Caenorhabditis elegans: one gene and its partner. The protein of the gene in region 1 purifies or fractionates together with the protein of each later gene. This does not show direct contact. Each region holds a gene or a part of one and is shown in the gene's direction. Other genes may lie near its edges.

Region 1 (7,718 bases):
TAGAGCTAGTGGAGACTTTATATAACTGCACTTATAATACTTGAACATGATCAAATATAATAAATCAACACTCGGAAAGTTTAAAAAAGAATTTTTGTTTCAATTCAGTAAAATGTTTGGAAAATTGGCAAACTATCAAAACAATTTGGTCTTTTTGAGTAATTCCGATCATTGTTGCAAGTTTAAACCTCGACGATGTTCAAACACAAGTAGTTAGAATTTTTTAAACAAATTTAAAAAAAGGTTTCGAAATTAATTACTTTTTTTTTGAATTTGAGGTTCCAAGATTTCACTTACATAAGCTCAAACTTTGTGTAGGCACTTTTAAAAATTGTCAATTAGAAACTTGTATCAAGATAATATTCAAATTCTATAATTTTCAAAAAAATCTTCAAAACATTAATTTTCTGTGGCTCTAGTAACAAAGATAAAAGGGTGCAACACTAATTGAAACTGAAATACTTTAAGGTTCAACTTTGTATTTTAATTACGTTTGAATCAGTTGTATTTGTTTTCTAGATATTTAAATCTGCAGCAATTCTTGAAAGTTCTCATTTTAATAAAATTCTGGGAATTTACCAAAACTTTGGCTGAAATTTTTAAATTCGAAATAAAATTGAAACATTTTGTATCATCTTTGTTTATTTATGCTCTTTTAAAATCGAAAAAAAATCGGAGCTTTTATTTATGATCTCAAGATGTGTTGGACTATTAGTAATGTATTTAGAAAGTATTAATTTTGATAGTTCCGAATTGTTCTTGTCATAAATATACAAAGATGGTACAAAATGTTTCAATATCGATTGTTTGAAAATCTAAAACTATCTTCACATGTTTAATTCATTCTTTCTCCCCATAAAATCACTCTTTTAAGATCTATCAAGTTTTCAGAAGTTTCTTGTACAAACTCTTTTCACATTTTGCCTCCTGATATCCAATCTCCCACGGCAACAAACCGACCACGACGACCGACACGCCAAAATTCAATCAAAAAGCAGGCGCCTGTTCAACCAATTTTCTTTCAGTGTCATATTCTACCTTCTCTCTATTTCTTTCAATGCTTTCTCTTTTCCTTTTCCCCTTCATGGAGATTCAGGAGTGAGCTTGAGTATAACAGCCACGCCCATTTTTTCGCCTTCTCCATCCATCTTATAGCTCCGGCTCAAGAGTGAGCCACGAAATTCAGTTTTGTTATTCTGATTTTGGTTTTTTTTGCCATTCACAAAAATACAATTTCAAAATCCATCACGTTATTAGACAAATGAACTTGGGGTCGCCAAAAATGTCAGCTGCTTTAAAAGATAGATGACAGGAACTTGGGATCAAAACCAGATTTCATATAACTGGCAATATTTTAAGAACCTTTCATTAATTTAGTATATCAATTCATAAAGATATTGGTTTAAGTTTTGGTTCAAAATTGAACCAAAATTGATCATACATACATTTCCCTGCCCCACATTATCACATGTAGATGCCTACCTCTTACCTGCCTACCTATATACAGACCTGCTCTCAGTTTTCTGCATTCCTTGAATGCAAGTCAGACTTAAAGGCATTCATTGAAAGCATTGCCTAGAAAGTTGAGATTTTTGGGTTGGCCTGGAAGTCTTAAAATTCAATGATACTTATATCACAAAATCATTAATTTTCTAACTTTGGCTTTTTTTCAATTCTATCATTTAATTTAATTTTCAGACATATCTTAATCATCTTATCAGTAGAGTACATCACATCATTAAGATGGGTTCCTCATCTTCAACCCAATCTTCCATGAATAACTTTGTGGGAATGGGAAGATTGAGGGAGGATATGAAGATTTATCAACTTGTAGATATGCATGGCGGTGGGGAACTTCTTCCATGGCTCAGGTAAAAACGTTAAACTAATCACTTGATGAATACGTATACAACAATAGTTCAAAATTTGAATATTTCTTCTTAGAGTTTCGACACTTTATCAATAAACTGCCGCTTTTTTTGGAACTCAATGTAAACTGAACCTAATTATATAAAAACCACCATTCCATTTACCCTTTCTTTTTGCTTCAAATATGCCGAAAACTCAAACAAATGTTACTTTATCTTCTGATTAAAAGTAAAATATAAAAACGAAACCCCATTGAGTTTCCATGAATTGTATTACGAAATGCGTCATTCCATGTAATACAAATTAAATTTTGGCAACTGCTTTGCCTGATAAACAGAATGAAAAATATCAATAAATTTCTTGTCAGAATTTCAAACTTTTTGAAAGATTAGGTATGTTTTAAATATTTTATAAGTGTTACTATATCAGTTCAAAGCTTTAATAGAAATATTCTGACAGTATCAACATTGAAAAAATTAATGAATAGTTTCATAAAAGTTTGTTAATTTTCCAAAACTAATAATTATTTCTTTTTGTGAAGTGCAATCATTTCAATGTTCGATTGAAATTTTTTCTTACCAAATTTCTGTTTTTAATAATTCCACAAATCCATTTAAAATTGAAAATTGAATGACGGAACTAAAACGAAAAGACATGAAAATTATAGGTTCGTATAATCGTTTTTGTGAACATTTTATTACTTTCCTGGTTTCCTTTTTGACATGTTTTGTCACAAGGAACGGCAAATGATGGTGATGTTTTTTAAAAAAGGGATCTTTTTGGAGCCCTTTGGTTCTGAAAATTCTAAGAAATGTCTATGTACTCGATGACATGCATCGAATTCTCACAAAAATCACCTGTTTTTTTTTTGCGAAAATTTCCATTTTCAGATATGCCATTATAAGTAGTGATACTTCATTTATCGACGCTTATTTGGAAACAAAAGTCAAAGATTTCTTGTATAATGGTGGAAAAGGAAAGCTCGTGACAGTTACTGAGTTGGTCAAATTGCGGAATAAGGTAATCTGAAAAAAAAAGTTTTTGTAATATGTGATCATTTAAAAACATATACATGATTCTCTACTTGAACAACTTTTACATTTTAACCACCTCACAATCAGGGGTTTTCAAAATTTTGATTAATTTCTGCAAGTGACTAGAAGTGAAAATAACGATGTAAGGCCTTCCCTTAAGGGTGAATCAGGGGTGTGCGGCAAATTTGCCGAATTTGCCGAATTTGCCGTTTGCCGAGCTCGGCAAGTTTAGAAAAAAGTAGATTTGCCGAATTTGCCGAGCTCGGCAAATTTTGAAATTTGCCGCACACATCAAAAATATGACTGTACAATTCTGACCAAAACTATTGAATTCTTCGCCAAAAATTTAGTGAAATCACACAAAATTGAGTTATTTTGATGCTTAAACAGACACACTACACAGAACTTATTCAGAAACCAGATGTTTGTTCAGATTTCAGTAGTTTTGGTGCTCCAAAAAGCATGAAATAGTATCCAATTTTTCGGAGTTTGTTAGGCACGGCAAATTTGCCGAATTTGCCGAGCGCGGCAAAATTGCCGAATTTGCCGTGCTCGGCAAATATTGAAAAAAGAAATTTGCCGAATTTGCCGAGCTCGGCAAATTTTGAGTTTTGCCGCACACCCCTGGGGTGAATGTATATTGTGATTTAAAAACCCCCAATTTTCCTGTACAGTGGTACTTATTAATAGTAATACGATTGATCTCAAAACACAAAATAACCGCTAAATTTAAATTTAGATTAAATAAACAAACAACTGTTTCAACTGAAATTTCAGGAAAAGTAGGATTTGCCTGAAAATGTTTCCAGATACTTATTAAACATAAATTGTCAACAATCCACGAACAAGGTACATTTTGTATTACGCCCAAAAACTTAGAATTTAGCTTTCAGAATTTTGGCTCCGAAAGCTTACCTCTTTCAAGGAACCAAATCTAAGTTTAAGGACATAAGGTTCTCAAAAGGAAATCTTGAAAACGAAAGAAGTTTCTCAATTTTTTTTTTGTAATGTTGTGTTTGACATGTTTTGATATTGGATGAAAATTTTATAATGGGTTACGTCACTTATTGGAAAAATCCAAAATAATTTTGTTTAGGAAAGAAATGAACGACTTGGAGCATTCTCACGAAAGAAAGGAAAAGGAAAAAGTGGGCCAAATGTATTAGACGATTTCAATCAGGAAGGAGAAAATGTGGGAGATTTGAAAAAAGCACTAAAACTTCTGGACGGAGGTGGAAAAGGCGGGCGGAATGAAAGTAAGTATCGAGAAATTTCATGGAAATTGGAAGAACGTGGATCAATGGGAGAAACAATTATTGGATGTTGTCTTCTTCATGCATCGGATATTCATAATGCTCTTGTCTTGAAGATTCTTGATTATTATCCAAAATTGTTGAATGATATTCACATTTCCGAAGATTTTTACGGATTATCACCTCTTCATCAAGCAATTATTAATACGGATTGTAAACTCGTTTACAAGTTTTTGAAATTGGGAGCCGATGTTAATTCAAGATGTTATGGAGCATTTTTCTGTGCTGATGATCAAAAAGCATCAAGAACTGATTCATTAGAACATGAATATGTTGAACTTTCATTGAAAACTAATTATACAGGGTAGGTCAATTTATTTTTGTTTAGTTGGTTGTATGCTTTCACATGCTTTCTATGTAAATCTAAATTCAGAAACATGTATCTTGGAGAATATCCATTGTCATTTGCTGCCTGTTTGAATCAACCTGAATCATTTCGCCTTCTTCTTGCTTTCAAGGCAAATCCAAATGCTCAAGATACAAATGGAAACTCTGTTCTCCATATGTGTGTCATTCATGAAAATATGGCAATGTTCAAGCTAGCATTAGAATGTGGAGCAAGTCTTCGTACTGTTAACAAACAAAGTCTTTCTCCGTTAACACTTGCGGCGAAATTGGCAAAAAAGGAAATGTTCGACGAGATATTAGAATTGGAAGGAGACAGTGTATGGGCTTATGGTGATGCTTCATCAACAGCTTACCCACTGGCAAAGATCGATACAATCAATGAAACAACTGGAGAATTGAATGAAGCTTCTGCACTTTCACTTGTGGTTTATGGGGTAAGCGGCGATTTTACTGGGAGCCGTTAAACTTAGCATTTTCAGCAAACTGTTGAGCATCTTGAACTTTTGGATGGCCTATTGGATACATTGCTGGAAGCGAAATGGGAAGCATTTGCCAAAAGAAAGTAAGTAAATTGGTAATTAGCGTGTAATTTTTTATAAAATTAATTAAACTTATTATTTTACCCAATCATTACTAATTGTGAAACACTGTTTCAAACTATTATTTAAAAACTTTTAGAAAGTTTTATTTAGAACTGACTTAGCGTCTCAACTAGGAAGTACGGTTTTATTATTTTCTTAATAATCTGAATTTCAGTATGATTGTGTCATTCACTGCCTTCACATTGTACTACATATGTTTTGTAACTGCATTCACATTGAGGCCAATTGGATTTTCAACGGAAATGTTAACTGAAGGATGGATCAATCGATATTCGGAACCATTTCCGGGAAGATACGGAAAAAACTCAACTCTTCAACAAGTTAAACCAGTGATTAATGCAACATCGCGTGGATTGGTTGAATGGTGTAAGTACTCTATCACCACTACCCCGAATATTTTAGCAATATTGAAAATTGATTTTTTCCCAATTCGACATAAACTTTGCTAAAACTGGTGCAGAATTTGGCGAACGTTGCTTAAGAAATTAATTTATATTGCTAAAATTGAGTTAGAAGTATTGCGACCAATTCTCGAGCAAGCTTACCTTCTTTGTACTCAATATTTCATATAAAATGTTGAATTTCCACATAAGTTTCCAAAAGATAAAAGATTAGAACCGATAATTTTTTACGGAAGCTGATTGATCGAAAATAAAATTTACAATCTATATTTCGATTATCGATTGAACAATGACATGCAGCACTAATAGGGAAATCACATTGTATTCGATATAATATCATTAACAAATTACAGCGGAACCTTTGAGCCAATGTCATCTTCGTAACTACTGGGATCCAGATATTCCATTTGCCAATTCATACGTTAGTTTTTCCAAAATACTGTAGGCACATATTTTCTTTTTCAGATCCGTCTTGTTTTTGAATTATTTGTTGTAATTGGAATTTGTGTTCAAGTGTTTCTTGATTTCCGTGATATTAAGAGAATTGGAAGAAAAAAGTGGTGGAATGTGTTGGTAAGCTGACTGGCAGAAAATAAAACTACAATTTTCTGTATTTCTAAAAATACAATTCACTAATTTCCAGACTGCTTTCCCTGCTAAAATCACGTTCAAATTAACATATTTTCTGGTTCTCGCAATGATTCCAACTCGTCTGGCATGTGATTTAAGTCCGGTACTTTTGGTTGTTGACAACGTTCTCATCACAGTTACCATGATCTTTACAACTGTACACTATCTCTATTATTGTCGTGTTATTCGATTTGTGGGACCATTCGTTTTGATGGTTTATACAATTATTGCCACTGACATTTTCCGGTTTATGCTCATTTACGGAATATTCTTGATGGGATTTTCCCAATCTTTTTCATTGATTTTTTTGTCTTGTGAACGGGAAGCCAATGTTATCAAAAAACTGATCACTGATCAATCAGAAGCATCGGAAGGTTCGGACAATAAATTTAATTTAACAAGACAAATCAGTGCATATGACACCGCGGTGAGATCATTCTTTGAAACTTTGTTAATTAATGAGTTATATTTTTATATATTTCACTTTTATTTCGAATTTTTCAGATTGTGAAAAACGCAGAAGTCTTTGAGAATGTAATGCAATCACCCATTGAAGCTTTCGTTCGTACATTTATTCTAACAATTGGAGAGTTTACAGTACTTTACCGTAACCTTGCTCTTTGTCCCGCCAATACGATGGTTTGGATTGGAAAAGTAAGTGTAAAAATAATTGAGTTTTTGGCAAATGCAACTTTTTTTTGAACAAAAATAAAAATCCGATTTGGTAAAATTTTCCTATACAAAAATTCCAAATTTTGGAAAGTTAACCTTTCTACACTTAAATCGTTGTTGCCAGCTCAGATTAATGTTAACTTTGTGCATGAGAAATTTGATTCAAAACTCAAAATTGGGGTCCAGTTAAATGCTGCTAGTGTTTGTTTTAGAATATATCTTAGAATTGAGCCGGGTTTTACAAATGCTAGCTACTTTTGACAGTATTTCAGAAGTTGTGACTTTTTAAAAATTTGAATAAGGTATTTGGGTAACTTAAATCCGTAGAGGATATATCAAACATACTTCCCATTACTCCACTGAAATTTTACCACGTAAAATTTCAGTTCCCATTACCACGTTTCTATAATTTTATTGATTTCAGGTTGTATTCATTCTTTTCGAATTGTTCGTAAGTATTATGCAGTTTAATATGCTTATTGCCATGATGACACGTACATATGAAACAATCTTCCAGACACAACTGGAGTATAAACGACAGGTTAAATCGTTGTTGCATTATTAAATTAAGATTTTTTTATTTTCAGAGAGCTCAAGTAATTTTGATGTTAGAGCTTTCTTTGAGTCCAAAAGAACGTCACCAATATCTTCTGAAATACTCAAGACCAACTGGAACAAACAAGAAAACAAGAAGTTTGGTTGTCAGCAAGAAATCAGCGGTTTGTTTATTACGCATTCTTATCAAAATTTCAACTAATTTTTTTCAAACTTTCAGTTTTCCCGCGACTCCAAAAAGGGACAGAAAGTACTGGAAGAAAAGATGAAAAAGATGATCGAAGAGAAAAAAGC
Region 2 (4,036 bases), on another chromosome or scaffold:
AAAAATGATTCCACAATCGGAAACAAGCTCAAACCTTTTCTTGGATTGTTCACGCATCATTGAGAATTTTATTGGGGATAAAAAATATCTGGGCGGGATATAGAGACTTTGAACAACCATGAGAAGTTGAACCTTCATAAGTTTATTTCTAACAACTTTTATACAATATTTCAAGAAACCTCCTGAAAAAGTTCACAAATCACTTCCTTTTCTAATTCGAAGTTCTGTGGACTTTGCATTTGAAGAGTCAACTTTTGTTTCGAAACCGGAAAATTGTATTCGATTACATCAGAATACAACATAAAAGAAATGTGACGTCGAATCTTAACACTCAGGTTCTAAACTCTCCATTTTGTTTGAAATTTCCGTTATTAAATTAACACTATAGACATCTTCTCAATTAGGTGTGAATTCCTAAACCAGAAGAACACCCACGTCACTTGAATCTTCAGCCCACACGCATTGCAGAAGAGTGCAACCTAATCTGGTTACTCCTCCTATATCCTCCGTCTTCTCCTCAATTTCACATTTCAACGGACAGCGTTTTTTTTGTTTTGAGATTTGCACATATTTCTCCAATTTTATCGTTATCTTAATTTTAATATAATATTTTTCAGTCGCTCATGCGGCCCGAACACTTGTCTTTACAATTATTGGCTTGGATATACTTGATTAATGGGAATCCAATTGTTCAGAAAGGGGGACTTGGTAGGTTTCTGATTTTAAATTTGTTAATTGTAACTTTAATGTTTTTTAGAAGTTCTGGATATTACTGACTCAAATGATTTGTCTGTTCGTCAAAGATTCGAAGAAGTTATACGTCTAGATTGTGCATCACAAAGACGAAAAGCATTAAAAAGAAAAACTGACGGAGATGCTAGAATTTATATTCCAACATGTTCTCCAAAAAACTCATTGTAAGTTTCTTCGTATACATATTTGTTAAGTTTACTCAATTTTCAGATTATATGATAAAGTGCAATGCTATGATGTTTCAATTTATTGTTGGTGTGTGGACGAACTGTCCGGAGAGCCAAAGTTAGGCTCATCGACAACAAGAGGAAAACCAAAATGTGAAGAAACTCCAACAACTACAGTTGCTCCAAAAAGAGTGAGAAGAAACAATCGGTGTAAGGAAAAGAAGAGAACACGATTTCTGAGGCGATTAGTATCAACTCTCAAATCAGAAATGATAATGAGTGGAATAAATGCAACAAAAGTTAGCAGAGATTCAGCAATTAGATGGAAGTTTAATCAACTCAATATAAATCATAATAATGTGCTTGAAAGAAGTGAATGGAAACCTTTTAAATCAGTTTTGTTAGAATGGAAGAATGTCAGACAGTGCTCCAGAAATCTTTTCAAAACTTGCGATCTGAATAAGGATAGAAAATTGACATTCGATGAATGGAGAAAATGCATTGTTCAAGGTGTGTTTTTGAGAAAAATCATCTGATTTCTCATTTAATTTTTTCAGAAATCAACCGAGTACCAGCCAAACGTCCAGATCAACTAAACCCATTCCTGTACATTTTAAGATCAGAATAATTTTAAGTTTTAATCCTCCCCCTCAATTTGCAATGTTCTTTAAAAATCTACCACGGGTAACCTCCTTCCATTAATCTATTAACCTATATTTGTCTTTCATTCACATATTTGTTTCTCAACAGCATAATAAGTTTGCTTAATTTCAGAGCTTGTAGTTGTCCGGTGTTGAAATATCGTATTTATTTGTAGAAATTGTATTTTCATATTTTCATTGTCAGTTCAAAAACAAAACATATGCATTTAAATTAAATAAAAGTGTTCACTTTTAAAATAAGCACGTGGTGATATTGAAATAATAAGAAAAAAATCACTATAAAAAGAACCTCAGAATTCAAAAAATCTATTTCGAACAAAATGGTTGGTGACGGTTCACTTTCTTCTGAATCAGTTATTGGTCTTCACACTTACAATAGTGCAGCCGATCTAACTAGTGGACATGTGTAAGTTTTCAAGGTTTTCAATAATATTTAAGCTTAATTCATTTTCAGTATGACACTTGAAAAAAACGAGTATCTATTTGATCTGAACACAAAAAACGCTTGCACTCGTCCACTGGATATTTTTATCAAACTTCTTTCAACTTCCTCTGTCGGAAAAGAGTTTTCACATTTCTCGTCTCTTCCATTGTCACGACTTCGCACTGTTGACGCTTTCTTTGATCACCCCGAATTGAATAAATTTGGAGAAATTCAAGTTTACGAGCAGACGCGTGTTCGAGCCGTTCATCGTCAAGGTAATTCAAAAACTTCAGAATAAAAATATGTAAAACTAGTGGGGCGTTACGTCATTACACATTTATTTACTACATTATATTATTTTAGTATCGCAATTTATGTCAAGTCGTTAGTGAAATTTTAACAAATTAACTGAATATTCCACGATATCTCTATTTTAGTTCCACGCCTTGATGTGGTGGCAGTACGTGAATTTCAATGTTTGACGTTCAAAAACAGAAAAAAAGCGTTAGGTCTTTCATGTAGGCGCCAAAACACCTGCCTGCCTCACCTTAAGGCGACCTTCGCCTGCATCGCGCACCGTCTATCAAAATAAATATGAAAATACCCCCTTATGGCTGTCACAAGGGACACTAAAAAGACGGAATGTCTAGATTCTGACTACCCGTCTAAATCCAATCTTCTACACATTTCAGGTCATAATTACCTCAACTCAAGTTGGATCGACGGATATCGTGAAACTCGAAAATTCATTGTCGCCCCGTCTCCTATGTCTGAAAGTGTTGCTCAATTTTGGCGGTGTGTTTTCGATCGTAATTCTCTTATTGTGGTGACACTGTGCGAGCTCCTGGATGAAAAGGGAAAACCATTTGTGCCTGTAAAGATTGGAGAACCATTGGTAATTGATGATATGACAATTGAGTTGGATAACATTCGAAAAGTTCGACCGGCAACTTACTCTTCTGTTCTGAAGATTTCTGAGAAAGGTGTCGAATCTCATAAAACAGTGATTCTTCTGACCTATAGTGGATGGGGAAAACTTGGTTATCCACAGAAACCATCTGATATTCTGGATTTATTGGCAGATATGAACCATATGAGAACAATTCTCAGAAAACAGGGACTTGAAAAGAAGATTTTTGACGACAGTCAACGGACACCAATGACATTGGTGTGTTTTGATGGATTCAGTAGAAGCTGCACTCTTGTTGCTTTGGATATTCTTTGTCAACGTCTGACAGCCTCTCATGAAATTGGTACTCCATTTGTTGATATTCTGGATACAATTGCTAGACTTCGAATGCTTCGTGGTGCAGCCTGCATGGTGATACGTTCTTTATAACTAGATTAAAATTAATATTTTCAGAAAGCCGAGCAGTTTGTCTTCTTATCAATGTCAGTTCTCGAATATGCCATTCGTCATCATTTGGTGAATGTGGAGGATCTCGGTAAAATCAGCTTGAATGGGTTTATCATTCGCAATAATCCTGAATCTTACTGACCCGTTTTTTCAAGTCTACAAATAAAAGATTCTTCAAATTTTTTATTCTCATTTTATTTCCTTCCGGATGACCTACATTAAAACTTGAGTCATTTTCCCAATTACCACCTTTTTGGAATGTCACTTTCAAGTGTCAAACAATGAATACGTACACATATCTTCAGATTTACTTTATATTTCTTCACATCTGTCACTGCCAAATATTTCAACAAATTCCAGTGAGTCCAGTAACTGGTTTGAATTTCAACAACTTTTTTAGAATCTGATTTATCTGAGAAACTATCTTTGTCAAGAATGTTATTATCTTTCAGAAAAATTTGTTAGACAATTTTCACAACGTTCGATGAAAGGATATTTCTGAAAGTTTATAGTCTTACAGGTTGGAATGGGTATGGGAATGGGTATGGGAATGCCTATGGTTATGTCAATGCCAATGCATAATCTTGTTGGAAACCCATTTGAACAAGGAATGGAAATTGTACGTTTTCATGTCATGATTTTCAATTCATAGTTCTCTAAAATTTAGGAATAC

What was found. Proteins that work in one complex are often made in the same cells at the same time.
Region 2: the proteins of ocr-2 (region 1) and T04F3.3 fractionate together in Caenorhabditis elegans (co-fractionation; one large-scale study listed by BioGRID). This does not show direct contact.

Annotation. Positions count from the first base shown.
Region 1 is NC_003282.8:8,214,062-8,221,779, reverse strand, and holds the start of ocr-2 (Ion transport domain-containing protein), read left to right. Parts: upstream 1-1,692; 5' UTR 1,693-1,743; coding exon 1,744-1,871; intron 1,872-2,759; coding exon 2,760-2,889; intron 2,890-3,999; coding exon 4,000-4,520; intron 4,521-4,589; coding exon 4,590-4,998; intron 4,999-5,043; coding exon 5,044-5,126; intron 5,127-5,320; coding exon 5,321-5,532; intron 5,533-5,920; coding exon 5,921-5,988; intron 5,989-6,032; coding exon 6,033-6,140; intron 6,141-6,210; coding exon 6,211-6,624; intron 6,625-6,701; coding exon 6,702-6,851; intron 6,852-7,293; coding exon 7,294-7,410; intron 7,411-7,456; coding exon 7,457-7,588; intron 7,589-7,644; coding exon 7,645-7,718.
Region 2 is NC_003283.11:11,757,045-11,761,080, forward strand, and holds T04F3.3 (Tyrosine-protein phosphatase domain-containing protein), read left to right. Parts: upstream 1-1,890; 5' UTR 1,891-1,902; coding exon 1,903-1,988; exon of another isoform or gene 1,989-2,036; coding exon 2,037-2,281; intron 2,282-2,507; exon of another isoform or gene 2,508-2,652; intron 2,653-2,698; coding exon 2,699-3,327; intron 3,328-3,369; coding exon 3,370-3,504; 3' UTR 3,505-3,536; downstream 3,537-4,036. Other genes in the region: smoc-1 (Thyroglobulin type-1 domain-containing protein), read left to right, coding at 624-708, 758-917, 964-1,430, 1,478-1,548; T04F3.5 (uncharacterized protein), read left to right, coding at 3,645-3,722, 3,884-3,982, 4,031-4,036.